Rattus norvegicus: one gene and its partners. The main gene of each other region encodes a partner of the protein of the gene in region 2 in a complex. Links are inferred from orthologs where the notes say so. Each region holds a gene or a part of one and is shown on either strand. Other genes may lie near its edges. The genes, in order: Timm22, Timm29, Timm10, Timm10b and Agk.

Region 1 (6,044 bases), on a different chromosome or scaffold from region 2:
GTCGCATTCAGGCTTCCGAAGGAATGAATGAGATCCACTCACAGGGGGAGGCTACTAGCTTTAATCTGTCCACCAATCTAACTCAAATGTTAATCTGACCCAAGAGACCCTTCACAGCAATACCCAGAATCAAGCTGAACCAATGAGCTGAGATCTCCATGAACTACTCAAATGATTCATAAAATTAACCGTTGCGAGTCTGTCCTTTGTCACTGTGGCACCTGCATGTCTTCCTTACATCAGACTAAATCTTTGAATAAAGAGGGTAACAAACTCTTGAGTCTACTCGATGTGAACAACGCCCTCTTCTGACCTCCTCAGGCACCAGGCACACACATGGCCCACAGACATACATGTGGGCAAAACACATATAAAATAAAATAAATAGGGCTGGAGAGATGGCTCAGCGGTTAAGAGCACTGACTGCTCTTCCAGAGATCCTGAGTTCAATTCCCAGCAACCACATGGTGGCTCACGACCATCTGTAATGGGATCTGATACCCTCTTCTGGTGTGTCTGAACAGCTACAGTGTACTTATGTATAATAAATAAATAAATCTTTTTTAAAAATTGGAATCACGCTGGCTTGTTTTTTAAAAAGTCTTAAAATATTTTAATTTGGACCATCAGCATTCTGTTATGGAACGGAAGAGAATCTAAACAAGAAAAAAAAACACTTCATGTATTTGTTTGTTTTGAGATAAGGTTTGCTATGTCATCCTAGTTAGTCTGTAACTTGATAAGTAGACCAGGCTAACCTCTAACTAAGAGAGATCGATTAGCCAGCTTCTGCCTCCCAAGTGCTTGGATTAAGGGGTGTGTACCACATCCAGCGCTCTTTTCTGGCCTTCACAGACACCCACGCTTGCACACCCATGTGTGTGCACACACATACATAAAAAAAACAGGGGTTGGGGATTTGGCTCAGTGGTAGAGCGCTTGACTAGGAAGCGCAAGGTCCTGGGTTCGGTCCCCAGCCCCGGAAAAAAAAAAAAAAAAAAAACAAAACAAAACAAAAAACAACTCTCCGGCAATGTTGGCATATAGGAAATGTGATCCAGGAATATTGGACCACTCACCAGAAACAGGCTAGAATCTGAGGATCTGTCACTGAGCAGCCCAGAAAATCTTTTCTTCTCAATGAGGAAATCACAGATCCACTACTAAGGCCAGGATCAAAAAGAAGATGTAATAGGAGCAACATTTTCTAACACTTGGCCATTGACTGAGGTACAAGAATGGCATCTAGAAATAGGATGGTTGGTGATCAACGCCTTTGATCCCAGCACTCAGAGGCAAAGCAAGGCAGACCTCTGAGTTTGAGGCCAGCCCGGTCTACAGAGTGAGTTCCCCAAGAAGCCAGGGCTACACAGGGAACCCCTGCTTCAAACAAACAAACAAACAAACAAACAAACAAGGATGGCATCTAGAAAGAAATGAGTTTCAAAAAGTTCAAACTTAGCTCTCTAACACTAAAAACCACAAAGCATTAACGATTCCAAGTTGCCTGGTGTAGTGGCACACGCCTTCGATCCCAACACTCTGGAGGCAGGCAGATCTCTCCAAGTGCACCACCACACCCGGCAACTACCAGCCATGGGGTTTGACATCTTCCATTGTTACCATAGTCGTATGCCATTAGTACCCTATGCAATACTCTGTACTTGGTCTCTCTCTCTCTCTCTCTCTCTCTCCTCTCCTCTCCTCTCCTCTTCTCTTCTCTTCTCTTCTCTCTCTCTCTCTCTCTCTCTCTCTCTCTCTCTCTCTCTCTCTCTCTCTCTCTCTCTCTCTCTCTCTCTCTCTCTCCTTAATGGTTTCTCTGTGGAGCCCCAGCTGCCCTGGAACTCACTCTGTAGACTAGTAGGCTGGCTTCAAACTCAAGAGATCTGCCTGTCTGGGCTTTAAGGCGTGCTAGACCACCACTCACATTTGTTGGCCTTCTTTATTCTTCCTTAAAGGCTTAATAAATATGTAATAAAATGCTTTTTGAACACATTTATGTCATGTTTCAACACTTTCATACAAAGGGCGTACATTCGATCTCAGAATGTAAACCAGTCTGTGGTTCTAGTGACTGTAGTAGCTGGAGCTCTGCTTTATGGCCTGGCAACAAAGCGGACACGTGCGTCCCCTGCTGCAAGTTCGACGAACTGCAGCCTAACAGGATCCGACTTCTCTTCGGCCGCTTCTCAGACGAGCTTTCAAAGGAAGTAGCAAAGCCAGCGAGTGCGCACGGCTTTCTGGGAAATACAGTTGGACATTCGAATTAGAACTACAAATCCCGGCACGCACCGCAATGGAGCCCCTAGTTGAGGGGTGTTCTTGAGCTACTAAACCTTGTCAGAGTTTTTAGCAATGCCTTACAAACTTGGTTCACTGTTTAAAGAGGCGTTGAGGAAACGTGATAGCTTCCTCGACGCTGATGCAAAGGCTGACTCTTGCTTCTACAGCTTCCTCAGTGTGGCGAATCTGCCGTTGTCGTTAGGCTGGCCGGACTCCTCGGTTAGCATGTGGAATCGGCTGTGGGAAATACGACGTGAAAGGTACTAGAGCCCGTACAGTCATGGCGGCCGCCAAGGCTGGGGCTTCAGCTCCTGAGGCGGCGGGTTCCGCCGAAGCTCCGTTGCAGTACAGCCTTCTTCTTCAGCACCTGGTGGGCGACAAGCGTCAGCCACGGCTTCTGGAGCCTGGCAGTCTGGGCGGGATCCCGAGTCCTGCCAAGAGCGAGGAGCAGAAGATGATCGAGAGGGCGATGGAAAGTTGCGCCTTCAAGGCTGTGCTGGCCTGTGTGGGAGGTGAGGCGAGGCTTGTGGGACCCTTGGGAGGCTGAGGGCTTGGAGAACTTTAAGGTTCCTTGCTAAGACCACGCGCCTGGGAGGCGAGGAACCTGTGCATCTCGACCTTGATCGCTCCCGGGCTGGCTGACTCCTTGAACCCGGAGATGCCGCTCTTGACCCTGAGATTAACATTCACAGTCAGGGTCTGCAGGTTCCTAAATTGTTGCTTTCTTTTCTTCGTTTTATTCGTTCGTTCGTTCGTTCGTTCGTTCGTTCGTTCATTCATTAAGTTGTTACTATGTAACGGTCAGGTGCCCGGCAGAAGGAATATGGATGAAAGCGACAGGAGCCCTGAAGGAGAATATTAGGACGCAAAGAGAAGAATGCTGTAGAGTTGCAAATGCAAAGGTCCTCAAGGCAGGAGTTTGGAGTTTGGAAATTATTACTGGGTGATGGTGGCCCAAGCCTTTAACCCCAGCACTGGGAGTGGTGGTGGTGGGCAGAGACAGACAGACAGGGAGGACTACATAGAGACACCCTGTCTCAGAATTAAAAAAAAACAAAAACAAAAACAAAAACAAAAAACAGCGAAGGCCAGTGTGATTAGTCGGGGTGAGGCTGGGATGGATGTTAACAACACACACACACACACACACACACACACACACACACACACACATACACATATTAATCTTCCAGGGTTTGAGAATGTACAGCATACTTATAGTGTACAGGTAAAAAGGTTGTTTATTTGTAGATGAGTTTAAATTTCGTTAAGAATGAAGAACATTTTAAAAATACAGGAGTTCAAATCTTAAATAGTGGGGAGGAAGAGGCAGTCAGATCTCAAGAGTTCCAGGTCAGCCTAGTCTATAGAGTGAATTCCAGGAAAGTCAGGGCTACATAATAGAGAAACTGATTCTTTTTTTTTTTTTTAAGACTTATTTATTTGATGTATATGGATACACTGTAGTTGTCTTCAGACACACCAGAAGAGGGCATCAGATCTCATTATAGATGGTAGTGAGCCACCATGTGGTTGCTGGGAATTGAACTCAGGACCTCTGGAAGAACAGTCAGTGCTCTTAACCACTGAGCCATCTCTCCAGCCCTGAGAAACTAATTCAAAAACCAAAACAACCAGGCTGGAGAGATGACTCAGTGGTTAAGAGTATGGACTGCTCTTCCAAAGGTCTGAGTTCAACTCCCAGCAACCACAGGGTGTCTCACAACCATCTGTAATGGGATCTGATGCCCTCTTCTGGTGTGTCTGCTACAGTGTACTCATATACATAAAATAAATAAATAAATAAATATTTAAAAAATCAAAACAAACAAATAAGTAGAAAGAAGAGATAGAGTTTTGGAGCTGAAGTGATTAGAAAGCAAGACCAGGAGAGGAGGGGTCTAGCTTCATTGAGCTTACATTGATCTTGAGGTGATCATCTTGAAAAGACATCATACAGAAATGGCTGGGGAGAAAGCCCAGTTGGTAAAGTGCTTATCATGCAAACATGAAGGTCTGAGTTCAGAACCCAGCATCTATGTAAAAAAGCCAGGTATGGCTGGGTGAGGCTATGGGGCCTTTAAGCCCAGCACTGGAGAGGAAGAGGCAGGATAGCCAGGGCTGTTACACAGAGAGACCCTGTCTTAGAAAACAAACAAACAAACAACAACAACAAAAAGAAATTGGTGGGTAATTCCTGAGGAATGGCACCCACTCTGGCCTACACTCACAGACAAAAGAAGGCTCAGACAAGGCATTTGTTGACAGAAACATAGGATTCCATGTTTAATATTCATGTGACTCTGAAGACAGTTACTTAACCTCTCCAGGGTTTGGTTTAGAGAGGCAGGGTGGATGGTGGTTTCAGAACCTTTAATCCAAGCTCTTGGGAAGCAAAGGCAAATGAACCTCTGGAGTTGGAGCTTGCCTGTTCTACAGTGTCAGGTTCGAGGCCAGCGGGATTATGTAGTGAGGCCCTCAAACAGAAAAGCCAGGAAGGGGAGATAGTAACATCTACCTCACAAGTTACTATGAAAAATAAGGAATATTCCAGAGTAGCGGGGACATGATGCTTCCTTACTGAGTGACTGTATGAGTGTTGTTACAGGTCATATACAACGTTGGTAGCTGAAGAACAGGGTTAAAGCTGAAAGGCATAAATCCTAGAGGAGTTGTGGGGGTAGACTCCGACTGTACTGTGAGGAAAGCCGGATCAGGACCGAGTGCCAAGAGACCAGAAAGGCCATCTTCAGTTACCATCCCCAAATGGTAAACTAGAGAATGTGCAAAAGAACTCTTATCTCTGCTTACCTCTAGGATTTGTCTTGGGAGGCGCATTTGGTGTCTTTACTGCTGGCATTGATACCAACGTGGGCTTTGACCCCAAGGACCCTTACCGGACACCAACTGCAAGAGAAGTCCTGAAGGACATGGGACAGAGAGGAATGTCCTATGCCAAAAATTTTGCCATTGTGGGTGCCATGTTTTCCTGTACTGAGTGTCTGGTAGAGTCTGTAAGTGCCTCTTGCTTCTTAAGAAAGCTCTTCCTGTTGCCCTTGTACACTTTTTAATTATCTTTTTTTTTTTTAAATCATTTAAAAACGCTTGGGTGTGTGTGTGTGTGTGTGTGTGTGTGTGTGTGTGTGTGTGTGTGTGTGAATGTGAATGTGAATGTGAATGTTTTACCTGCTATGTATGTGCATCATGCGTGTACCTGGGGCCTGAGGATGCCAGAGGAGCGTATCTGGTCTCTTAGGACTGGAGTTACAGACAGTTGCTAGCTGCCATGTAAGTCTAGAGAATTGAACCAGGGTCTTTCTGGGAGAAAAGCCAGTGCTCTTAACTACCAAGCCATCTCTCCAGCCACACACCCTCCTTTTTTGAAACAGGGTCTTACAGTGTAACCCTGAATGGCTGGAACTCACTAGATCCTCCTGTCTATCTCCTGAGTGCAGGGATGGGATTAAAGGCACGTGCCAGCACACCCAGCCCATTGCACAGCTTTTAAAAAGAGCGGTGTTCGAGGTGTTCCTTCAGAATGCTATCAGAAATGTGGTCCATATTTGCAGCTTTAGCACTCAGGAACTGAAGCGGAGGATCATGAGATCTGGACCAGGCTGGGCTGGAAAGACCTTGCCTCAACACAAACATTTAAAAATGTCAATTTTAATCTAGATTGTTCATCCAAAAAATAGTCCCTAATGTGAACTTTTTACATATTATGTGGATTTTGCACATTTTTAAAAATCTTCTGTAGGCAA
Region 2 (5,999 bases):
ATATGACCTGGGCCTCTAGACACTTGATCTGCTCCTCGTACCTGTCCAGCTTTTCCTGTCCACCCATGGCAACTGTGTTGGTTAACTGGGTAGAAAGCTACTCCAGCCTTTCTCAGTCCTCTAGGTTGTGGGCATACTCTAGGACCAACAACCACTCTTCCTCACAGCCTCCAATGTAATGTCTGTGCCCTGCCTGCTCTTGTTGGCTTTCCAATGCCAGAGGAGATCCTGAAATCCTTCAGTAAGATCCCTTCCCACCACTATATGGGACTCATGTACTCATCCCCTACTCATGACTTCCCAGCTTCTTCCACTGCAATGACCTATGCCACTATGCGCAACTCACTTGTTTCCACCATGGGACCTAGAAGCTTTCTGGGTCCTCTTCTAAGCCTCTCACCACCAATGCCAGCATAACTCATTTGCCGACCCTACTCAGGGACCTTGCTGACTTCCCTATACCAGACAGCAATGCCACTCACCCTCTGAGTTAGCCAGACCTACCACCTTCTGCTTCCCTTCTTGGTGTCTCCCTCAACTAAACACAAGTCTGCTCTTTGTGCATGACTGCCCTGTTCAGGACCAGGCACAGTCCCATGTTGAATAATACTCCATTGATTCAAACATAGACCCACTTACCATATAAGTCAGGACGATTTCTAAGATGGTGACGCACAAAGTTGTGGCCAGGATGGGGCAGCAGGGAACCTTTGATCCTGTCCAAGACCTAGAGAACAAAACCAAGGGTCCAAAATGAGAACCCCTGCATTCTGAGAGGCATCCACTGTCTTGCCAGCACATCCTACCTGAACAAGCTGGAACACGTCACCCACTGTGAAGGTGGATTTCAGGCCTGCCACCTTGCTCTCAGCTTCCTGCAGCCTCTCCTCCCAGACAAAGTAAGGACAGTCTCCCTGTTCTAGATGGTCTCCCTCCTAATTTCCAGGATGTACCCTCTCAGAGGACCTGGTTTATTATTAGAGGTTGGTCTGACTGGGAAACATACTGCCTTTAAGACACATACCATCCACATCTACTTTGTAACCTAGTTTTTGCTTTCCAGTCCCACTATACCCATCCCATCCAAATTCAGTCCCCAAGAATAGTGGCTGAACCCCAAGAAACTCCAAGTCGTCACCACCAATGTCCAAGGCCTCACCTGGGAGGTGTCTACATCAAAAAAGCTCTGATAGTAGTCAAACGTCCAGAATCTTGGCTGTGGCTTTTCATCCTGTAGAAGCTATAAGACAAAGGCTTTCAGAACCTGCCTGCTTAGTCAGAGTAAGGACAGAGGCAGAGTATATCGGGGCCTAGGAGACTCACTGATGTTTTGTCATCCTCTTCCTCTCCTTCGGCTCCATAGCCAATGCCTGAACCCACAACCACAGCCACATGCTCTTGTGAGGTCAGCTTATCACTTTGGCTCGTGGTTGCTGCATCTGGGGTTTCTGCCAGAAGATTTGCAGCTTCCTCGAACTCTACGGAGAGGGAATATGGGCACAGGTGTTTGGAGTCTGAAAGGGCTGTGACTGCCTCACCACCCTCCCCTAAGGGCTGGGTTCGGTTTTGATGGACTGTAGATCTGCTCGTCTACTAAGATGGTGTTCAATTTAGGTCCTGTGCAGAGTTGGAGGCGGTGATTTGCCTTTTGAGTTCATGGAAGGAGCGGGAATTGAGTGCAGGATGAACCTGAGGTCTGGGACCCAACTGCTTAGGGTTCTAGCCTAGGACAGGGCTAGGAGCTCTGACCACTTCCGGGCTCCACTCACCGTGGAAGGCCAGATCGTCGGCTGCTGCCATGGTTCTTTGGAGGCGTCACTGCATCACACTCTGTGGACAGAACCGCATCAGTCCCACAGCCCTCCCCAAGACTAATGCTTCCGTCTGGACTCCTGCATGGAGCCTAACACACGGAGTAATGAAGCTTCAGCTCCAAGCTAGGGCCCTGCAGAAGCACCCCACCTTCCTCACCTGAAGCTACCTAAGCTGGCGTGGCTCTTGCTCCGTGCGCGTGCGCGCCGCTCGCCTACCCGTCAGAGCCCACCCTTCTCGACGCAACGGCAACATCCGGCACTAGTCCGTTTCCTATTGTCTTCCAGTGGGAAACTACTTCCTGTATCTTGCGCTTGCGCAGGATCTACTCTCCAGCCCTTTTCATTCCGGCACTATGTGTTTCCCCTCGACTGAGGAACCGCCGGAAAATGATGATGACAGCAGCTCTGAAGAGATTCTGGTCCCGTGGACGCAGTGAAGCGGGAGGAGAGGCAAGTGGTACCACGACAGTGGCGGTTAAGCCAGGGTTGTGGACGCGACTGGGTGAGTAGTGGCAGAAGGCTGCAGGGTGGGTGGCCCAAGTGGCTGAATCATTGTCACTGCAGCGCTTCTTTCCCCTCAGGCACCTGGTCCCGCGCGCTGCTTCGGGATTACGCCGAGGCGTGCGGAGACGCGGCGGCTGCTGCGCGAGCTCGACCCGGCCGCGCGGCCCTGTACGTGGGGCTGCTTGGCGGCGCTGCTGCGTGCTGTGCGCTGGCGCCCAGTGAGGCGGCATTCGAGGAGGCCTTGCTTGACGCATCAAGTTCTCTCTTGCTGTTGGCGCCGGCCACGCGCAACCGCCACTCGGAAGAGTTCTTGCAGCGCCTGCTGTGGCTGAGGGGCCGCGGGCGGCTGCGTCACGTGAACCTGGGGTTCTGCTCGTTGGTTTACGAAGCGCCCTTCGACGCCCAGGCCAGCCTCTACCAGGCCCGCTGCCGCTACCTGCAGCCACGCTGGGTCGACTTCCCCGGTCGGGTCCTCGACGTGGGGTTCGTAGGCCGCTGGTGGGTCCTGAAGAACCGCATGCATGATTGCGACATCAACGACGACGAGTTTCTCCACCTGCCTGCGCACCTGCGCGTCGTCGGGCCTCACCAGCTGCACTCAGAGGCCAATGAGAGGCTGTTCGAAGAGAAATACAAGCCGATCATACTCACCGTCGATCAGGTGGACCAGGCGCTGTGGGAGGAGCAGGTGTTACAGAAGGAGAAAAAGGATCGGCTAGCTTTGAGCGAGGCTAATTCACTAGTTCAGTCCGATGTTTCCAGGTGAAAAACGAAGGGTGCCCCCAGGCGCAGGCAAACTGTTGGCCACAGATGGTGCAGTTGGTGAGATGGGTAGAGATAAATGACCCTCGTTGTGATTTTGTGGGACGTTCTAGCTCTGTCTGTCCTGTTTGCCGAAGCTAATTGGGAGCCTTACTGGTCTTAGAGATACAGAAGAGCTGAAAGACTGCTTTCGAACATGAAGCATTTGACCTTGTGCTTACCGCTGCAAGATCTACTAATAAGGAACCTTTGCTGTGTAGCCTGTTGTTGCTGGGGATGGACTTCAAGGGTAGAGCATTTGCCTAGCATGCCTGGGTTCCTGGCTTGCATTTCCAGCACTGCAAAAACAGAACAAAAATGGGCTTTTGGTTTTTGGGATTTTGTTTATTTGGTTGCTTTTTGAGGCTCCCATATGCCCAGTCTGGCCCTGACTACTCCTGTATCAGCTCTAGTGCACAACAGTGTACACAACAGTGTAGTCCAAGATTGGGACTAAAGCCATGTGCCAGCATGCCGGCCTCGGGGTTCCCTTTTCACCATGTGCCAGCATGCCGGCCTCGGGGTTTCCTTTTCAGTTGTAGCTAAAATGTGTGTGTTGGGTTTTTTGTTGTGCTTTTTGGTTGGTTTGTTGCACTGGCTTCCCCAGAACTGGCTATGAAGAACAATCTTCCCTTAAACTCCCAGAGATTTGTCTGCTTCTTAAATTGGATTTTTTGGGTTTGGTTTGCTTTGTTTCTGAGAAGTGGTCTCACAGCCCAGACCAGCCTCAAACTCACTGTGTAGCACAGGATGACTGAACGATGGGTCCTATTGCCTGCACTTTCCACATGAAGTAAATGTCTCTGTGACGTGGTTTGTTATTGTTGGGTACTTGTGCTAGGCAGTAAATCCAGGGGCTTGTACATAGTAGGCAAGCACTGTACCCCCAGTCCTCTTGGAGTTTTTGTTTTGTTTGATAATCTCCTTATGTAGTCCTTGAGGACCTTTGACCTAGCTTGTCTTAATTAGTAACGTTGTATATTACTGTCAATGCAGGAGATAGACACAGAGGCAAACAAATTCTACTGTATGTGTGTGTGGCAGTGATTGCAAGCATTGTGGAAAGCTGGAATATGTTCCAATCCCAGAACATACATGTAGTCACATGCCATACTGCAGGGACCCTGGAAACGGTTGGAGAGGAACAGGGTGGGGCATATATGTTGGACCTAGCAAAGTTCTGGTAATTACCTTTCAAGCTAAACTATTAGGGAAGCAAAACTGCCCATATCAGGTGGACTGTGACTAGTCAATAAAAGCGGGAGATGAAGCAGTCATCTTTGTCTTGGAGTCTTGGATTTGTTTATGGTGGGAGGGCTTCACACAGACTAAGTATGTACTCTACACTGAGTTTCCCCCAGCCCTGGTAGTGTGTTTTGCCTCTTTCATTCATTATCAGGTGTATTGAATATATGGTAGTTCTTTTTGGTTGGTTGGTTTTTCAAGACAGAGTTTCTCTTTGGAGACTTGGCTGCCCTAGAACTCAAGAGATTCCCCCACAGTCTTAGCTTCCTGAGTGGGAGGATTAAAGGTGTGTGCCTCCACCTCCTGCATACAATAGTGCCTGAGTCCAAGTCTCCTGGCCAGAGGATGATGTTAATTCAAGTCTTCCTGACTGGTGAGGTGGCTCAGCCAGGGAAGACAGCCCCAACCACCTGAGTCCATGTTCTGGAACTCACACAATAGAAAGAAAGAACTAACACCTCCAAGTTGTCCTGTGACCTCCACACACACAAAACAAATTAGAATGCAATATGGGTTCCAAAAAAAAAAAAAAATCCACGTGTGAATTACAATGTGTTAATTAGTGTATATTAGTGGCGGTTCATAAGATTCACTAAAGCATTTACTAAAGCATTTCTTTTTTTTTTTTTTTTTTTTTCTTTTTTTTCCGGACCAAACCCAGGGCCTTGAACTTGTTAGGCAAGAGCTCTACCACTGAGCTAAATCCCCAACCCCTACTAAAGCATTTCTTATGTGTGTGCAAAGTGTTTTTATTCACCCCATTGCTGTTTCTTGAAATCCACTCCCACTTATATGCTTCCTCCCTTCCCAATTAGCACCAGAGTATGTGTGTGTGTGTGTGTGTGTGTGTGTGTGTGTGTGTGTGTGTGTGTGTGTGAGTGTGGGGGGGGTTGGTTGAGACTGACTCAATGTGTAATCCTGGCTGGCCTAGAACAATATAGATCAGGCTGGCCCTGAACTAACCTAGACCTCGCCTTTACCTCCCTAGAGCCAGCACTTACATTTGAATGTTATGTGTGTGGATTTAAACATGATTACAACCTCATGGAACTGTTTCCAGTCACTAACCATACCAGTGAGGAAATTTCTCTCCTTCCTCCCTTCCTCCCTTCCTTCCTCCCTCCCTTCCTCCCTTCCTCCCTTCCTCCCTTCCTTCCTCCCTTCCTCCCTTCCTTCCTTCCTCCCTTCCTCCCTTCCTTCCTTCCTTCAGCAACTGTTACTGACACACAAATCCCCATAGTGGAGAGGGCCCTTCCAGTCTTGTGGAAATCTTGTACAGGTGATCACCACAGCAGCTAGGGGCTATAAGATGGCTCAATCCAAAGGCACTTTATTGCCATAAAACCTGATGGCCTGAATCTGACCCTCAAGACCCACTTGATGGAAGGAGGAAATTAATTCCAGCAGATTATTTTCTGACCTCTACACATGTGTGTAAGCATGTTCCTGTACACACGTGCAAATAATTTTTTAAGTACAAAAGCCGGGTCTTGGGTGAAAGTTAGTGTTTCGAAATACTCTCCTCTTCCAGCTCTTCTGTTTTTCTGTCCTTCCAGTGTTCCCTCAGCCTTGTAGGGGATAACCAAGAAGTCATGCATCTCAATTTTAAAGATGGGGGGGAGATCAGCATTCAGG
Region 3 (6,033 bases), on a different chromosome or scaffold from region 2:
CGCACGTGTAATCCCAGCGTTTGAGAGGCAGAAGCAGATGGATCTCTGTGAATGGATCTCTGTGAGTCTGAGGGTAGTCTGGTCTACAGAGTGACATCCTGTTTTTAAAAACAAAACACAACAAAACAAAGCAACCCAACCCCACTAAAGTAAAGACCCACTGCATTAAATCCCTCTACTGTTGGATGCTCTGACTCTTTACTCTCAAACAAAGACACTGCTTTGCACAAATTTGTTTTAATATGATATATACATATACACACATTCACAGTCACAAACCAGCATGACAAGTCCCCTTCCTTAGCCAGGAGAGCTCTACCACACGCAGGGGTCCTGGAGATGCTCAAGGGCCTAAGTATGACAGTTTTCACATGTGACATCCATTAGGGACACTTTAATCAGAGGTGGCAAGGTGCACCACGGGTGTACATGGCCCGGGGCCTCATGCAGGCCCAGAGCTCTGCTGTACCCGCTTCATCAGCTCTTCATCCTGCATAGACAACTCTGTCAACTTTTTTCCCATCCTCTCATGGATGTCCAAGTACTTGGATACGCATCGGTCCAGACACACAGACTCGCCTTTGGACAGCTCTGCCTCCTTGTAGTGGGGAGGCACGCACTTCCGGTGGCAGGCACTGGTCATTCTGGGTTAGAGAAGAACAAGGTTGTATCAGTAACTTCCTACAGCATCCCGGGAACCTTCAACAATTCCAACCCTGCTGGACTGATTCTTGTCTGGTTCCTCCCTCAAGAAAACAGTAGAGGGCTGGAGAGACGGCTCAGCGGTTAGAGCACTGACTGCTCTTCCAGAGGTCCTGAGTTCAAATCCCAGCAACCACATGGTGGCTCACAGCCATCTGTAATGAGAGCTGATGCCTTCTTCTCCTGTGTCTCGTGTGTCTGAAGAAAGCTACAGTGTATATATTAAATAAATAAACCTAAAAAAAGAAAAGAAACTTTTCTTCAACCAGTTTGGAAGGTTCTTCCAATAAGAATCTTCTCTGAGTCATGTACAAGACTAGTTAAAGCAGAAGCACTTGCTGAATACTGGCTGTGTGCCAGCCATCATGCTAAGGGCTAATACAGACTCTGTTAGGCAACCCTCACAGTAGCCCAGTGGGGTAGGCACAATCATTATCCCCACTTTACAGATGAGGAAATTAAGACACAGCTCAGTAATTTGCTAAATATCACACAAAGCTAGGTAGTCTGACTGCACAGTCTGCATTTTAAAAACCATTCTAATTTATAGTCTCAAAAACAAACCAATCAATGAAAAGAGCTGCTGACAAAAACCAGCAGATACCTGCTGTTTCCTGTATGATATGCTAGATGATAAAGTATAATACTGTAATGTCTGTATGGCATAGCACCTCTTATGCCAGTTTTACTGATGAGATAAGCAATTATGAGACATTCAGCAGTGACTGGCATACCAGGATGCTTCCAAATTGGCCTAACAGCTACAAGCAGTAGTTGTGAAGTCAGCCTCAAGTTCTGGCCTGACATTGTTGCTGACCAGCTACAAAACCTGAGATTAGTAAACCCCTTAATACCTCAATTCCCCTATGTTAAAATGGTACTAATAAAATTAACCCACTGCTCTTCTTTCCTTCCTTCCTTCCTTCCTTCCTTCCTTCCTTCCTTCCTCTCTTTCTCTCTTTCTCTCTCTCTCTCTCTCTTTCTTTCTTTCTCTCTTTCTTTCTTTCTTTCTTTCTTTCATTCATTCATTCATTCAACTATTTGGCTTTGGCCTCCATCTCTGAGTATAGGCACCCACCATGCCGAGATCAAACCAAGGGCTTCCTACATTCTAGACAAACATCCTATGTTCCACCCCATTCTCCCTTTGAATTATTTTTAAGTATTTACAAAAATGACAATGGGGGTCTGGAAAGTAGTTAAGAGAACTTACTGTTTTGCAGAGGACCTGGGTTTGGTTCCCAGCACCCACATGGCAGCTCACAACTATCTTTGACTCCAGTTCCAGGAGATATGATGCCCTCTACTGGCCTCTGAGGGCATGTGATGCACATGTATATACACATGCAAGCAAAACATACATACATATAAAACAAATAAATTAAAAAAATTTAAAGTGGGGGTTGGGGATTTAGCTCAGTGGTAGAGCGCTTGCCTAGGAAGCACAAGGCCTTGGGTTCGGTCCCCAGCTCCGAAAAAAAGAACCAAAAAAAAAAAAAATTTTAAAGTGACAATGTATATAAAATGCTTTGCAAGTGCCTAACACAGAGATAAAGTTTAATAAGGATCAAGTGCACACACTTTTAATCCCAGCACCCAAGAGACAGAGACAGATCTCTGGGAGTGAGACCAACCTGCTCTATACAGATCAAGCCAACAACCAGGGCAACACGGAGACGCCCTATCTTGAAAAACAAGAACAAAAACGCTCACCCCACCTCTCCCCCAAAAAGGAAGAAAAAAATTAATAAGTACTAGCTACTAAATACTATTAACTACTAAATGACTGTTCAGATGGCTCAGGAGGCAAAGGCCCTTGCTGCCAAACCAGAAGATCTGAGTTCAATCCAAGATGGAATCCTAGTAAGTTGTCCTTTGACCTCCACATGTGAGCTGCTATAGCATGCATGTTGGCATTCATAAATAAACACAAAATACAGAAGCAAAGGTAATAAAATGGGCTATTAGAAAATAAAAGAGGGGTTGGAGATTTAGCTCAGTGGTAGAGCGCTTGCCTAGCAAGCACAAGGCCCTGGGTTCGGTCCCCAGCTCCAAAAAAAAGAAAAGAAAAGAAAAGAAAGAAAAGGCAGTGCTTACTTGTACTTGATACTCAGCAGAGCCTGAGCAGGAGACTTTCCTTCACACCCCTTTTACTCCCTCTAAATAGCCAACCAAGTCCTTCCAGTGACCTGTCTTTACTTCAGCCAAGCCCGCAGTAATGGTGGGACGGGATTAGGAGGTTGGGACTTGGCTCTACTACCTTAGGGAAAGCATTCCTTACAAGTCCTTCACTCTATCGCGGTAGGGGTGACGAGGGCTAGTTTTCTGGACAAGGTGAATCGGAGTGGTTCTCTTTACCTGTTGTACATGTCGGCCATCATCTCCACCTCCAGCTCCGCTGCCAGTTGCTGGGCTCTGAGCGGATCCATGTCAACTTAGCACCGTGGAGAAAATAGCCTCCTGGTCTTTAGTCCTGGGAGCGTACATGATAAGTCAGCACCGACCCCTCCACATTCACTCTAATACCCACCCAGGGGCTGGAGGGCGCGAGGGGTTACAGCGTTTCAGACCAGCAGGGACCAGTACCCTAAGAAAACGTAGTCAGCCCTCTTACCAGAAGTGGAAATGAGGCCCTTAAAGGGGACAGTGTCCAGTTCAAGGTCACTCAAGATGTCATGGGGCTCGGAGCTGGAAACCGAGAGCTCTCAGTATCTCGAAATCACTCCTAGCCAGAGGACCGACATTAGGGGCAGAGCACACAAAACCCTGGGCCTGAACCCACGCAGCCCCGAGAATGTGACCCTAACCACAACATAGGTTCCCAGGGCCGGTCTAAAGGCTGCGCCTCTGTCATGGCAATGGCATAATCAGGGTCAGCCTGGGGATCAGATACCATGGCTCACTCACCACGGCCTGGGGTAGGTCACAGCTCCCGCAACGCCCCCAACTTCGGGTCAATAGTAAAAAGTTAACCGGGTACCAAGATAGGCGAAATAAGAAGCACGTGGGTCACTTCCGGAAGGAAGTCTAACCTCTTCTTTGATCCGGAAGAAAACGCAAACCAGGCGGCTCTGGGAAACCGGCTACCATAGAGAGGAGCCACTGGCTGAAGAGAAACCTACTTCAATTTGCTAGAGTGGACTCCAAAGTATCATAGAGTGCGGAGTCAATGGCAGAGCGCCGACAGCCTTGTTAGCGTTCCATCCCTCTGGTTGTCCGGGAGACTTCTGAGTGTTTGGAGTGTGGAAAAGGCTTGGCTCCCTGAGCCTACCATGGAGAGCCCACGCCTGAGCGCAGACGGATCTTTTGTGAAGAAGGGAGAACGTTTCCCAAAGGAGCCTGTCAGTTTTGCATGTTAAAACCACCTGGAGCACTTTTTTAAAAACCTCAACGCCCAGACGTTACCTCATACTCGTGAAATCAGAGTCCCAGGGAGTAGGACCCAGACTTTAGTAAATGAACAAACTGCGTTAACTGGTGGGGTTGCAGAAAGAAGGATACAAAATCGCTGCTCGCAGAAAAAGGAAACATGTATAGAGGTCTTCTGTGCTTGCTTTTGAGATAGGGTCTCATGGAACCCAGGCTCTCTAATTTGCGGTGTAGCCGAAGATGACCTAGAACTTATTTCCTGCCTCAACCTCACTAGGGCTGCGGTTACAGATGAGCGCCGTTATGCCTGAACTTTGCAGTGCTGGGATGGAAGTAGGACCACATGCTACAGGCAAGCGCTCTACCAACTGCCCCAGCGCTGCAGCATGTTTTACTGCACTTCTTTATCATAGCCATACACATGCACAATAAATAAAAAAATAAATGTAACAATAAGAATTATTGGCTTTATCCTTCTCTTTTTCTTTCTTTCTTTCTTTCTTTTTTTTTTTTTTTTCTAGGCAAGCACTCTACCTAACTGAGCTAAATCCCCAACCCCTTGGCTTTATCTCCTTTTTTGGTTCTTTTTTTCGGCGCTGGGGACCGAACCCAGGGCCTTGCGGCTTTATCCTTTAAAACTATTTTTATTAGGGCAAATCTGCAACACACAGAGAACACAGTCTAATGAACTTCATTGGTGATTTGGTACAGTGTGAGATGATCTGGGCCAGAGAGTCATCAGTGAAAGCAAGGAGAAATGATGAGGAACACCAAGATTTAATATTTTTTTAAAGATTTATTTATTTATTATAAGTACACTGTTGCTGTCTTCAGATACATCAGAAGAGGGCATCAGATCCCATTACAGATGGTTGTGAGCCACCATGTGGTTGCTGGGATTTGAACTCAGGACCTCTGGAAGAGCAGTCAATACTCTCAACCACTGAGCCATCTCTCCAGCCCCAATTTAATAATTCTTGATATTTAGTCGCATTTTCTTGATCTATTCTTGTCTTTAGCAGATGAAGTCTTTTTTCCAAAGTGCTATTTTCACATTCTCAGCTAATAGTGATTTTTTTCATCTCTCTTCCACGGTGCTGAAGGAATTGTAAGCAAACACTCAATAACTGAACTATACAGTTCATTTGACATACTATTTTTAAATTTAAATTTATTTATAAGAACATGCACCCATGGTGGAATCGAAGGGCTTGTGGAGGTCAAAGGACAACTGGTAGAAGCTGATTCTCTCCTTCCATCATGGGAGTTCAGAGTAATCAAACCCAAGCTGTCAGGCTTGGGGGTAATCACCTATATCAGCAAGCCATCTCACCAGCCCACTTATTTCCTAATGTAATCTATTGACAACTTAAAATTTATTTATCTTTTTATGTTTGTGTGTGAGAGAATGAATTGTGTGCTTGGAGGTCAGAGGACAACCTCAGGTTTCCATCCTTAACTTTAACCATGTTTAAACAAGATCTAGTGTTTGCTGCTGCCTATACCAGCCTAGCTGGCCTGAAAGCTTTCAGAGATGCTCCTGTCTCTGCCTCCCATCTCACCATAGGGTCTTGGAATTGTGGACCCATCCCACCATGTCTGACGTTAGATTTGTTCTAGGGATCTCAAATCAGGACCTTACTACCACAAAGAAAGCTCTTTCGCCACCTGAGCCATTTTCCCAGCCCTATTGCAAGTATTTTCCCCAACTTCTCAGAAGGATCTTTTTACTGTACTTAGAACATTTAACAAAAGACACTCTACTTGTACTCGATAGTGTTATTCTCTATATGCACTGTATTGCACAGAAGACCTCTAGAAGACCTTTATCTTGCATAACTAAAACTACACACACTGAACAACTTCCTACTTCCCCTCCCTTCAGACCCTGGAAAATCATTGCTTTTGCTGACAATGGTGCTACCGTTATTATTGCTATGTGGCCCTGTCTTTCTTTTACTG
Region 4 (4,865 bases), on a different chromosome or scaffold from region 2:
AACCAGACACTTCTGTGGCCCACTTCCCTTCCAGCACATGAAATGACCTTGCTGAAGAAGGAAAATCTAGACAGACAACTGCATTCTTCTGCTTACTAGGGGGAACAAGGACTTGTGTCCTGACCACCAAACCAACTCAATGCATGTATCTGGCATTCTTGGGATAGGGTAAGAGTGTTGTTAGTGTACTCAAGAAGAAAGAATAGAAGCTATCGTGATATGTGTGATTGGCAGGATCAAAGATGGTGGGCACAGAAAACAAGGAAGTTGGCTGATATTTCTAGGTAGAATTCTAGTCAGTGTAACAGTCTAAAATGAAAGTCTGAGAAGCCTCACAAAGCTCCAACTTGGCCTTAAGCTCCTGAGTGCTCATAACCTCAAGGTCTTAACTTGGCTCAGGTGGTGGCGGCAGGGAGGAAAAGACAAATGAGATTATCTTAGAGACTAAGTGGCAGGGGGGAAGCAGATGGGCAACTCTGGAGCTGGTCTGGGACTGAACAGGCTATGAACTTCACACTAGCAGTTCTGAAGCTCTTCAGTCACGAGTCAAGCTTTACTGTATGTGTCCTATGTGCCGGCAAGCTGCCTTAACAGCCCCCATCCCCACCCCTCAAGCCTGTCTCTATCACTCATACCTGTGGGGATGAGTCCGTCACCAGAGCCCCCATAGCCACCAGACACAATGCTAGTTTCATTGAGGTTGGGTCCTGACACCATCACCTGCTGGAGGTCCTATAGGTCAGAGAAGAGGGGGCACCTCAGGAACACAGGGATAGATGAAACATTTGGGGATGGAGGCAGTGCACATAAAGTTTATACAGAACCATAAAGATTTGAAAACTAGGAAGGAGTTTAGTTAACTGAAGGCTATTGGGATGGGGGAAAGTAAAAGGTTTATAAGTCAGGACTGCATAATGAGACAATTAGAAGAATCAAACAGAAGCACCTGCTCCAGCCCATCGTCTTCAGGAAGCTGCCCAGCCTCGCCATTTCCGTGGATGGGAATCTCCATTGTGGCTGCCTTCCCTAGAATCCCGTCCGTCATGGCTAGGGAAGGGACAGGAGTCAAGGTCTCCACCCCAGCACGCTGTAAAGCCCAACAAGACAATTCTGGAAACTAGCCAGCACTCCAGAATAAGGAGGCCTCCCCTGTGTTCTCAGAGGTTTCAGGGATTGTCTTAGGGCTTGGGTGTCCTGGGATCAGCCACCACGTCTTTCCTTGAGTATGTGTATCCATTCTCTTCTGAGTACATTATTTCTACAAATGCATGCATACCAAAGCCTCTGGTGTCTTCTCGTAACCCCCAACCTCGCCTTTAGTAACCATTCATGCATTCAGTCATTCAACAAACATTTGGTGAGTTTCTACTATGTGTGAGATACCGAGGCAATGGAATTGCAGCAGTGAGGACCAGAGGGAAGGTCTATGCTCTCTGGGAACTTAACCCTGCATAAGCATGTTTACCAAAACTCTTTCCTAGGCTCAGACGTTCACTTGCCACTCAGGCATGCTCTGCGATCCTGATCTTTCACATCCTTTGGTGTTCCTTCCCCTCTTCCTTCAGATGGTCTGGTCTCTTCCTTTCTCCATCTCATGCACCTGACTCCCTCAGGCCCTCCCCACCAGGCCTTAGTTGAAGCAGTTAGTGAATGTTCCTGGTGTCAGGACACCAGGACACAGGCAATCCCTTCCAAAGTCAGTTGAAGCCTTCCAGATGTGAGAGGCACCCCCCACCCCCATACACCTGGGCATCAGGTGTGTCCTCATCCTTGCCAAGGGCTCAGGGCATGTTGCCCTCAGTACAGGTTCGTGCGTTCAACTTCCCTTCGTCCAAGTACGTCCTTCTCACCTGGGCCGGGCCGCTCTTCCCCTCAGGGCGCGAGGCCCGGACCGCGCGGGGACCTCGGGTTCCAGTTCCCGTCGCGATCCTAGCAGCAGGTCAGAGATTTGGCGGAAGTGACATGCTCTCTGGGCAGAAGAAGCCGGCCACGTCGCAGAGAAAAAGGGCGGAGGTGACGTTTACAGTTGTGGGCAGGGCGAGCCTGGAGCTACGCCTTCAAGCTCTTGGGGGAGTACCGAGAGTTTACTTCCGGGGCGACTCCGAGAGCCACCCCCTCCGGACGGAAGTGGCGTACGCCATGCGCCCTGGGCGTGATGGAGCACCAGCAGCAGCAACTGAGAAACGTGAGTGAGAGCTAAGTTGCTCTCTGGGTTAGACGCGCAGTTTGTTTCCAGGGGTACACGCAAGAACCCCCAGAGGGGGAGGCGGGCTGCGCGCCCCAGGAAGCCTCGGCGGTGGTGAAGTCTTGGTTCCTTTTTCTCTCAGTTGCGAGACTTTCTGTTGGTCTACAATCGGATGACAGAACTGTGCTTCCAGCGCTGTGTGCCCAGCCTGCACCACCGAGCTCTGGACGCTGAGGAGGTGGAGACTGTGGGGGGTCCCAGAGTTGACAATAACGTGATGTGACTTACCCCCTCCCCCCACTTCCCCTCTCTTTCATGACCTCATTCCTAGGCTGGGGACCGGGAAGGATGGAGGAGGGCTTGACAGGACCCCTTTTAGTTTCTACTTCCATCTGTCTTCCTTCCAGGAGGCCTGCCTGCACAGCTGTGCTGGGAAGCTCATCCATTCTAACCACCGCCTCATGGCCGCTTACGTGCACCTCATGCCCGCCCTGGTCCAGCGCCGCATGGCGGACTACGAGGCTGCCTCTGCCGTGCCAGGTGTTCCTGCAGAACAGCCCAGAGACTCGCCATCAGGCAGCTAGCTAGCTGTCCCTGACCGCAGGAGAGAAGGTGCTTGGATAGGCTCCTCTATGGACCTTGGGCTTGTCTAAATATGTACAGAGAGACTGAGCTTGAAAGCTGGGTGCTCTTGCTCCTTTTCTTGGAGCCAATAAACCCGTTTTTGTATTCTGGTTAATTTACTTGGCAAGAACTTTTCTTTATTGGTACCATCCTTTATTCTGTCATCTACTGCCTGTCTAGTGCCTTTAGCCTTGGCAGTTGATGTATTACCTTCTTGTATGTAGAAGGACAAATTTAGCATTCCCAGCACCCCAGCAAAAGCAAGGATTATGGCTACAGTTTGAAGGTTGGTAATAACAATGGGAAATTGGTTCCAAAAGGAGAGTTCTCTGTGCCTGTCCTAGGGTCTAACTCAAGTACCTGAATATACATTGGCTCTTAACTAGTTTTTATTCTCAGCTGTCAGACAAAAGAATTGCTGTAGATCTAGGGGAAGAAGGTAATATCAAACAACAAAAGCAGGAAGAAAACAGTGCCCCCTTAGGTTTTAGTCACTGCTTCCTAGGAGATCAGTGACAACAGAACAAAGACAAGCCTCTAAGAATTTAGGAATGTTGACCATTTCCCCAATTTACTCTCTTAGTATTTCCTGCTTTTGTGAAATTAGAAATAAAGACTTTAAACAAAGAAGGACTTTCTTGTCTTCAGTCAGTCAGGAAGACAACATTAGTCAAACCTCAAGAGAAACCTGAGGGAAAGGGAGATGGTATTAGGGAGAGATGGTTAAATACCATCTGTGACCCTCCACCCGGTGCTTCCTCAGTGTTTCACTGCCTGTCTAGTCCCCTAGTTTCAGTTCTCTACCTTCCAGTACTCTAACTACCCTGTTGCCAGCTTCTCTATTCTTGTTTCATTATTCCCCCACCCCCTTTTGTGGGATTCACGTCTATACTCCGGAGGAGTCCTTTCCTGGCAGCTGCCATTTCCATGACTTCACTCCTAATGTGGAGATGGGGAAAGGAAGGAGGATATGGCATGCACCACCACATGGGGCTTCTGGGGCTTCGAGGATAATACAGCCTGCAGGGCAACAGCATGGGGTCTGCACCTATTACTGTTTCCCAGAAGATTAGACTCAGGCACTTGTGCTTGCCTGGTGTGAACTCTAAACAACTAAGCTACCCACTTCCCCTTCACTGCTTCCTGAAATCCCATCCCATCCCCTCCACCATTGCAACAGGTGGCCAGCTTTCATTTTTTTTTTTTTTTTTACAAAGGAATCAAATTCACAGTGAAAACCAACCATTCACAGAGCAGATTCTCTGCCCTCCCCCCACCTACAGGTCAGAAATTTGCGTTTATTTATTTATTTATTTTATTTATTTACTTTGAGTTATGGTCTCATGTACCCAAGACTGACCTGGAAATGGTAACTAAAAATGACCTTGAACTCCTGATCCTCCTGTCTCTACCTCCCAATTGTTGGCCAGCCAAAAAATTGAAAATCCCAGCTGACTCCATATTGAAAGGCTAATCATGTTCCAAGGCTTGTTATATGTGCCTGCAGTCATAGCACTAACAGGCCAAGCATTGTGAGTTTGAAAGCGTTCTGCGCTGTTATATCAAGACTCTTATCAATAAAGTGAGCTGGGACATCAAGCCTGATAGTCTTTGCACTACAGCAGACTACTCTAAATGATGTCTGTTGAGTTGTTTTGTATAAATTTATCATACTCTTTTTAATTGCAAAACTAGGAGGTATTTTTCATTAGACAGGTAAAGAAGCACGAAAACAGGAGGGCCCTGTCTTAAACAGTTCTTGAAAAGCAGATTCTGGCGTGTCACAACTTTTTTCTTTTCTTTCTTTTCTTTTCTTTTTTTTTTTTTTTTCTTTTTTTTTTCTTTTCCTTTTAGGTGGTTTTGCTGTGGGCACATTGGTCTTCAATACGATCCTCCTGTCTCAGCCTCCCAGGTACTGGAATTACAGACATGGGCTACAACTGGTTGCTAGATAATTCTTTAGGAATATAAAAATTGCTGACCAGAAGCTTCCCTACAGAGTGACCTGTGTACATGATTAATTTCACTCCTTGACAAGTACAAACGTGAGTAGAGC
Region 5 (5,299 bases), on a different chromosome or scaffold from region 2:
TAGCTCTCTCTAAGAAATTCCAGTTGGGTTGAAAAATTAAATGAAAAAACTAAAAATCAGTAAAATACTTGGAGTAAACACACATAATTTAAAAAATAAAATAGAAAAGGCAAGACTTTTCTACTCCTAAGTTCAAATTGGTTAGTAAAATGTTATTGTTAAAGAGAACAATTTCACTGGTTAAGTAGCAGCACCCTGGGAGGCAGCTGTAGCTGTGTTAAGATGGCAGCCTCTAGGTCCTGTGGACACTTTCTGTTCAGTGTTTATCAGGTGCTTGTTGCTCTGTGCTTGCCATCTAGAGCACAAGCTTCACAGACCCTCTGGCCTCAGGACATAATCATATGCCAGAGAAAAGTGCAGTGGATCCGTGGCGTGACAGACGGCAGGGGAGAAATGTGGACAGGCAACCCAGGAACAGAGGAGGGCCTCCTAAACTTGACAGAGGATCAGAGAGCTTTCATGAGGGAGGTGGCATTTATGCTAAATTTAGAACTGGATAAAGGGCACTTGGGATAGAGACGTGGACTGTATGAAGCCACTGTGATAAACCATGGTCATAAATTCAGGCTGGTGCAGTAGAATGTGTGCAAATGGATCCAGAAGGGAAGTATGGATGTACTCAGATCTGCATTGTGGGAAAATTGGCCTCAATGTGCACAAGGAGGTGGGCATGCCTAGTTGTAGGCAAAGCCCGCAGATATCAGATTGACAGAGTCATCCAGTGATCAGGAAAGAGCAAGTGCTGTGGTCTAGAGTAGGGTTGTTAATGGCGGAGTGCTACTGGAGTAAAATTCTCAGAAGCTTGAAGAATATTAGATTGGCAGATTTCTAGTCTGAGGGACTAGAGTTGGGTAACTTCGTTTTGTATTAATGTTGATGATGGTAAGACCAAGTTTGTGGAGGAAGATGAAGTTTTGGTTTGTGTGTGGTGAGTGTAGCATATCTTTGGTTCAAATATGTGTAGTTACAGTTGTGATTCTGTCTGGAACTCAGAAAGAGGCCCTGGGATGAAGAAATGTGTGTCCATGTTTTGAGGATATTGAAAGTGCGGGTTTGTAAATAAGAATTGATGGGGGGCTGGGGATTTAGCTCAGTGGTAGAGTGCTTACCTAGGAAGCGCAAGGCCCTGGGTTCGGTCCCCAGCTCCGAAAAAAAAGAACCCCAAAAAAAAAAAAAAAAAGAATTGATGGCCAGGAAAAGCACAAAGGACCGTAAACATTTAGAAAACTAGAAGAAAAAAAAAAAAACAAAACTGTGATGGTACTAAGAGAAAAGTCAAAAGAGAGCCCCAACATATCAGCCAATCAAAGAGGAATTTCAGGAGAAAGAAAGTACAAGTTTTAGGAAGTAATGGGAAGAGTCTAAATGAAAACTGGAGGTCGTCTTCTGAACGGGGAGCTGCCGAAGGTTTCCAGTACGAAAAGGGAACTGTCTTTGAAATTGGGAGTTGCCAGAAGTTTGTCAGGTTCCAAAGTAAGAGGGTTAGATTATAGCAAAGAAAACTAAGAAATACATGGTAGGTGAAGAAACGGAGACAGTTAAAGGACGTGATGGGGCACACCTTTAATCCCAGCATTCAAGAGGCAGGAGCAGGGGAATTTCTGAGTTTGAGGACAACCTGGTGTACAGTGTGAGTTCCGGGACTCCAGGGTTGTACAGAGAAACCCTGTCCCGAAAAACAAAACAACGAAACAAAAAGAAAAACAAGAAAAAGGAAAAAAAAAGAAAGAAAAACACAGACACTCAGGATAGACTGTCTTCTCTTCAGGAATCTTGACTTGAAAGAGGAGAAGACAGAAAAGGTAACCTGAGAGAAACAGAAGGCAATAGAGCAGTGGTTTTTTTTTTTTTTTTTTTTTTTTTTTTTTTGGTTCTTTTTTTTCGGAGCTGGGGACCGAACCCAGGGCCTTGCGCTTCCTAGGTAAGCGCTCTACCACTGAGCTAAATCCCCAGCCCCGAGCAGTGGTTTTTAAGAGAGCAAATGGCTGTGTTTTTACATGCACCAAAGCAGGAGTAGGAAGTGAAGAGAAGGGAGACAGACAAGATGACTGAGGTGTTAAACCCACACAGGTACAGAAGGCTGGAATCCAGGGCGCTTGCACAGAGGAAGGGCTTCCTTTGTCGCTGAGACAGGAGAGAAGTAGCGGTTCGGTCCAGACCAAGGTTGACAATGGAGAGATTTAGGACTTTCTCCCTGGTGGACCTGACATTCTTTGAAGACAGTTTGAAGCTGTGCTTCTGAAAATGAAGCAGGAGGACAGGTGGTAAAGGTGGCACAGAGTATTTAACTGTAAGAGTCAAGAGAATCTGTGCCAGAACCTGAGAGTCTGTGGTATTACTGATAGGCTCCCCAACTCAGCAGTGTGACTCCCCCACCCAATAAGTGTCAGGCTCTGATTCAGGGATCCCTCCCTCCTTCTCTTTCTCTCTCTTTCACAGACACACACACACACACACACACACACACACACACACACACACACACACACAGACGTAATAATAGTAATAATAGTAGTAGTAATAATAATAATAGTAATAATAGATAAAAATGTATCGTACAGATATCTAGTGTGAGAATGCTAGGCTTTGAAGCAGTGAAGAGGCCTTAGGCTGCATTTGCATTCTGTCCTCTAAATGGAGTCTGATGGCAGCAGTGAAGTAGGTGTTTGATGCAACTGGTTTCATTACATGTTTGTGTGCCGTCTGTAAATTGATGTTTATCATGGGGCCACTCTGCTCACTCGTGTTCATTCCTATTGTGGATAAGTAAGCGTGAAGAGGAGTTGTCAATTCAATTTGTTTTTCTCTGTGTCGTATGTTAGGGGACATAACAGAGACCATAGTCACTATGTTCATGGTTTTTAAGGCAAAATTGAAGCCTTCATTTTTCCACATGGGGAGAACTCTGTTTATTGAAGAGACAAATTATTAGAATTCTGACCTTTGCAGAGCAAAGCCCCCGTGTTAGGAGTTATGTGTGCGTGATGAAAGCTATTTTCTTCTTCATTAACAGGAGTGGCCTCAGACCCATCAGGCCTCCATCTCTTACACGGGCCCTACAGAGAGACCTCCCATTGGGCCTGAAGATGCTGCTCCCCGGCCTTCTCTGTACAGGAGAATATTACGTAGGCTTGCCTCATTCTGGGCACAGCCACAGGATGGTGAGCAACATGGTGACTAGATTACAAGCCCTGTTCAGCTTAGAAGTGGCCTGGAGTGGACACCCAGAATCAGTACTAGATAATCATTTGGTGCTGGAGGAGCCAGTCCAACCTTGTTGAAGTCAGACTCCTGGGTGCTGTCAGGGCAGGCTTCAATGTCTTATCACTAGGTGCTGCAGTTCCTGTACTCTTTGTCACTGACATCTGTGCTATTGTGCTGCTGTCGGTGAGGATGCTTTAGGCAGAGAACCTGGTGTTTATCCCTGTGTATCAGAAAGATGAAGTAAAGTTTAGAGTTGGACAAAGGGCTGAGGAAGCTGACTACCAGCAGCTCAATACTTTCTCTCTCTCTCTCTCTCTCTCTCTCTCTCTCTCTTGCTCGCTCGCTCGCTCGCTTGCTGTGTGTGTGTGAGCGCGTGCACGAGTGCGTGCGTGTATGTGTCTGTGTGTTGGGGTTGGTGGTGTTGTAGTTGGGAGTGAGACACAGAGAGAAATGTTAGTAGAAACACTGGCCTATGTCTGATGGATTTCCACAGCCTTCTCCCCAGAGGTGAGCCCTGAGGTCTGGAAAGATGTACAACTGTCCACCATTGAACTGTCCATCACAACCCGAAACACCCAACTTGACCTGACGGTAAGTGGACTCATTTTTATGAATTTGGTGTCTGGAGAAACAGTGGCAGGTGCTTTTCTTGCACTAATTAGTTATTTTTCTACTTTACCCTGTGGGCATAGAGATGAAAGGATCAAGGAAAGGGAGGGGTAGTGTGCCTTTGAGTAACAAAGCACTGAGAAGTGGGAGCTGAGTGCATCGGGACACAGGAGCTCAAGGCTCTCGGAACACACATTTTCTTCATGATTGGGTGGCCCGGAGGATGCAGACGGAAGCTTTAGAAGTGAAATGTTAGAGAGAAGCTGAACATTCACTTGAGTAAATATGCATTATGTTTTGACTATATTAAATACATAGACTCAGACTCCCCAGGACACACAGATCTATAGCTATACATGTGGGGATCCTGTTGAGATAGGATCTTGCTACATGCTACAGGATAGCCTCAAACTGTGGTCTTCCTGCTTCAGCCTCCCACATAGTCGACTTACAGGCTTGTGTGCCACTTGTGGCCAATGTGATTTAATTTGGATATGATCTGTAGACATGGACTGTCCAAAGCTATTTGTCATATGTGGCTATTCATATTACGTGGGTTGAAAGAGAAGTTTCTCTGTCATGTCAGGGCTCTACAGCTATATGTCTTGCTGTCATATTAAACATGCAGATGAGAGTTTCCAGCAGTTTAGACAATTCCACTGGCCAGTGCTGCTGTAGATAGTTCACTAAAATTACCAGAAAACACAAGAAGGCAAATAAAACAAACCCTACTATATGCTGCCTTTATATTGCCTATAAGCAAAGAATTGATTTTCTAATTTTAAATGATGGAAAGTTAAAAGAATGATAGCTTATGGAACATGAAACATGTGGAAGTCACATTCCAGAATTTGTATATAAAGCAATATTGTAAGAGGAATGCAGTCCTTTATCTGCATTTCTCCTGTGGCCCTTGCACTGTGGTAGAGGGGACAGAGTAAAAGAGACCATGTGGCCCCAGCCCTAGATGTTTGCTATTTGGCCATTTTTAGAAAAAGCATACTGAGCCTGGAAAGGAGAAAACTTTAATTACTTCCGTTAACAGAGTTCCAGTGTAGGTCTTTCTCACTGTGGCTAATTACTATAACATATTCTGCTTTTATGAAAACCTGAGTAGTCTGTTCACTGTTACGCTGGCCAGTCCGAGAACTGGGAGGTGGAGCTGCAGGGTAGTGGGAAGGCTAATGTCTGGAGTAGTATTGACTTGTTTTCTGTTTATGCAAGTAATTTGCATCTCCTGTAAAATATTTGCAGATATTTTACCTTCTGAAATAATTCCAGTTGAATTAATGAACTAAACTCAAAATAATGAAAATACTTAAGTATTAAGTAAAATTTAAATGATTTTAAAATTTACTTAAGTAAAATTTAAATGATTATCAGTATAAAGTAGGAAAGTACAAAGGAGCTTTTCTAAGCATGACACCTAAGGCAAATTTTATATTGATGCATTAAAAAGATAAACTTCAGAATGACAATTGGGGAG

What was found.
Region 1: Timm29 (region 2) and Timm22 share a complex: the UniProt entries of both Homo sapiens proteins name them as parts of the TIM22 complex. The link is inferred for Rattus norvegicus from reciprocal best matches to the Homo sapiens genes TIMM29 and TIMM22.
Region 3: the proteins of Timm29 (region 2) and Timm10 are in contact, whole or in part, in a cryo-EM structure (PDB 7CGP), measured with the Homo sapiens proteins. The link is inferred for Rattus norvegicus from reciprocal best matches to the Homo sapiens genes TIMM29 and TIMM10. Residues at the interface, in NP_612367.1 of Homo sapiens: Asp181, Asp183, Ile184, Asp186, Phe189, Leu192, Leu196, Arg197, Val199, Gln203, Leu204, Ser206, Asn209, Glu210, Leu212, Phe213, Asp214; in NP_036588.1 of Homo sapiens: His30, Arg31, Lys32, Cys33, Pro35, Pro36, Leu43, Ser44, Lys45, Gly46, Glu47, Ser48, Val49, Arg53.
Region 4: Timm29 (region 2) and Timm10b share a complex: the UniProt entries of both Homo sapiens proteins name them as parts of the TIM22 complex. The link is inferred for Rattus norvegicus from reciprocal best matches to the Homo sapiens genes TIMM29 and TIMM10B.
Region 5: the proteins of Timm29 (region 2) and Agk are in contact, whole or in part, in a cryo-EM structure (PDB 7CGP), measured with the Homo sapiens proteins. The link is inferred for Rattus norvegicus from reciprocal best matches to the Homo sapiens genes TIMM29 and AGK. Residues at the interface, in NP_612367.1 of Homo sapiens: Tyr145, Gln146, Cys149, Arg150, Tyr151, Leu152, Gln153, Arg155; in NP_060708.1 of Homo sapiens: His33, Asn36, Arg39, Arg40, Cys43, Gln44, Gln47, Asn51, Lys82, Pro86, His89, Leu90.

What each region holds. Positions count from the first base shown.
Region 1 is NC_086028.1:61,749,135-61,755,178, forward strand, and holds the start of Timm22 (mitochondrial import inner membrane translocase subunit Tim22), read left to right. Parts: upstream 1-2,551; 5' UTR 2,552-2,563; coding exon 2,564-2,795; intron 2,796-5,100; coding exon 5,101-5,297; intron 5,298-6,044. UniProt on the Homo sapiens protein: Essential core component of the TIM22 complex, a complex that mediates the import and insertion of multi-pass transmembrane proteins into the mitochondrial inner membrane. In the TIM22 complex, it constitutes the voltage-activated and signal-gated channel.
Region 2 is NC_086026.1:28,419,404-28,425,402, forward strand, and holds Timm29 (mitochondrial import inner membrane translocase subunit Tim29), read left to right. Parts: upstream 1-1,966; 5' UTR 1,967-2,201; coding exon 2,202-2,316; intron 2,317-2,395; coding exon 2,396-3,084; 3' UTR 3,085-4,936; downstream 4,937-5,999. Other genes in the region: protein YIPF2, read right to left, coding at 640-727, 1,160-1,240, 1,324-1,478, 1,770-1,800. UniProt on the Homo sapiens protein: Component of the TIM22 complex, a complex that mediates the import and insertion of multi-pass transmembrane proteins into the mitochondrial inner membrane.
Region 3 is NC_086021.1:90,312,802-90,318,834, reverse strand, and holds Timm10 (mitochondrial import inner membrane translocase subunit Tim10), read right to left. Parts: upstream 3,697-6,033; 5' UTR 3,132-3,696; coding exon 3,061-3,131; intron 645-3,060; coding exon 443-644; 3' UTR 222-442; downstream 1-221.
Region 4 is NC_086019.1:169,390,221-169,395,085, forward strand, and holds Timm10b (mitochondrial import inner membrane translocase subunit Tim10 B), read left to right. Parts: upstream 1-2,134; 5' UTR 2,135-2,155; coding exon 2,156-2,185; intron 2,186-2,327; coding exon 2,328-2,423; intron 2,424-2,592; coding exon 2,593-2,769; 3' UTR 2,770-3,436; downstream 3,437-4,865. Other genes in the region: Arfip2 (arfaptin-2), read right to left, coding at 636-732, 947-1,045. UniProt on the Homo sapiens protein: Component of the TIM22 complex, a complex that mediates the import and insertion of multi-pass transmembrane proteins into the mitochondrial inner membrane.
Region 5 is NC_086022.1:70,146,533-70,151,831, forward strand, and holds part of Agk (acylglycerol kinase, mitochondrial), read left to right. Parts: intron 1-3,013; coding exon 3,014-3,161; intron 3,162-3,697; coding exon 3,698-3,795; intron 3,796-5,299. UniProt on the Homo sapiens protein: Lipid kinase that can phosphorylate both monoacylglycerol and diacylglycerol to form lysophosphatidic acid (LPA) and phosphatidic acid (PA), respectively. Does not phosphorylate sphingosine. Phosphorylates ceramide.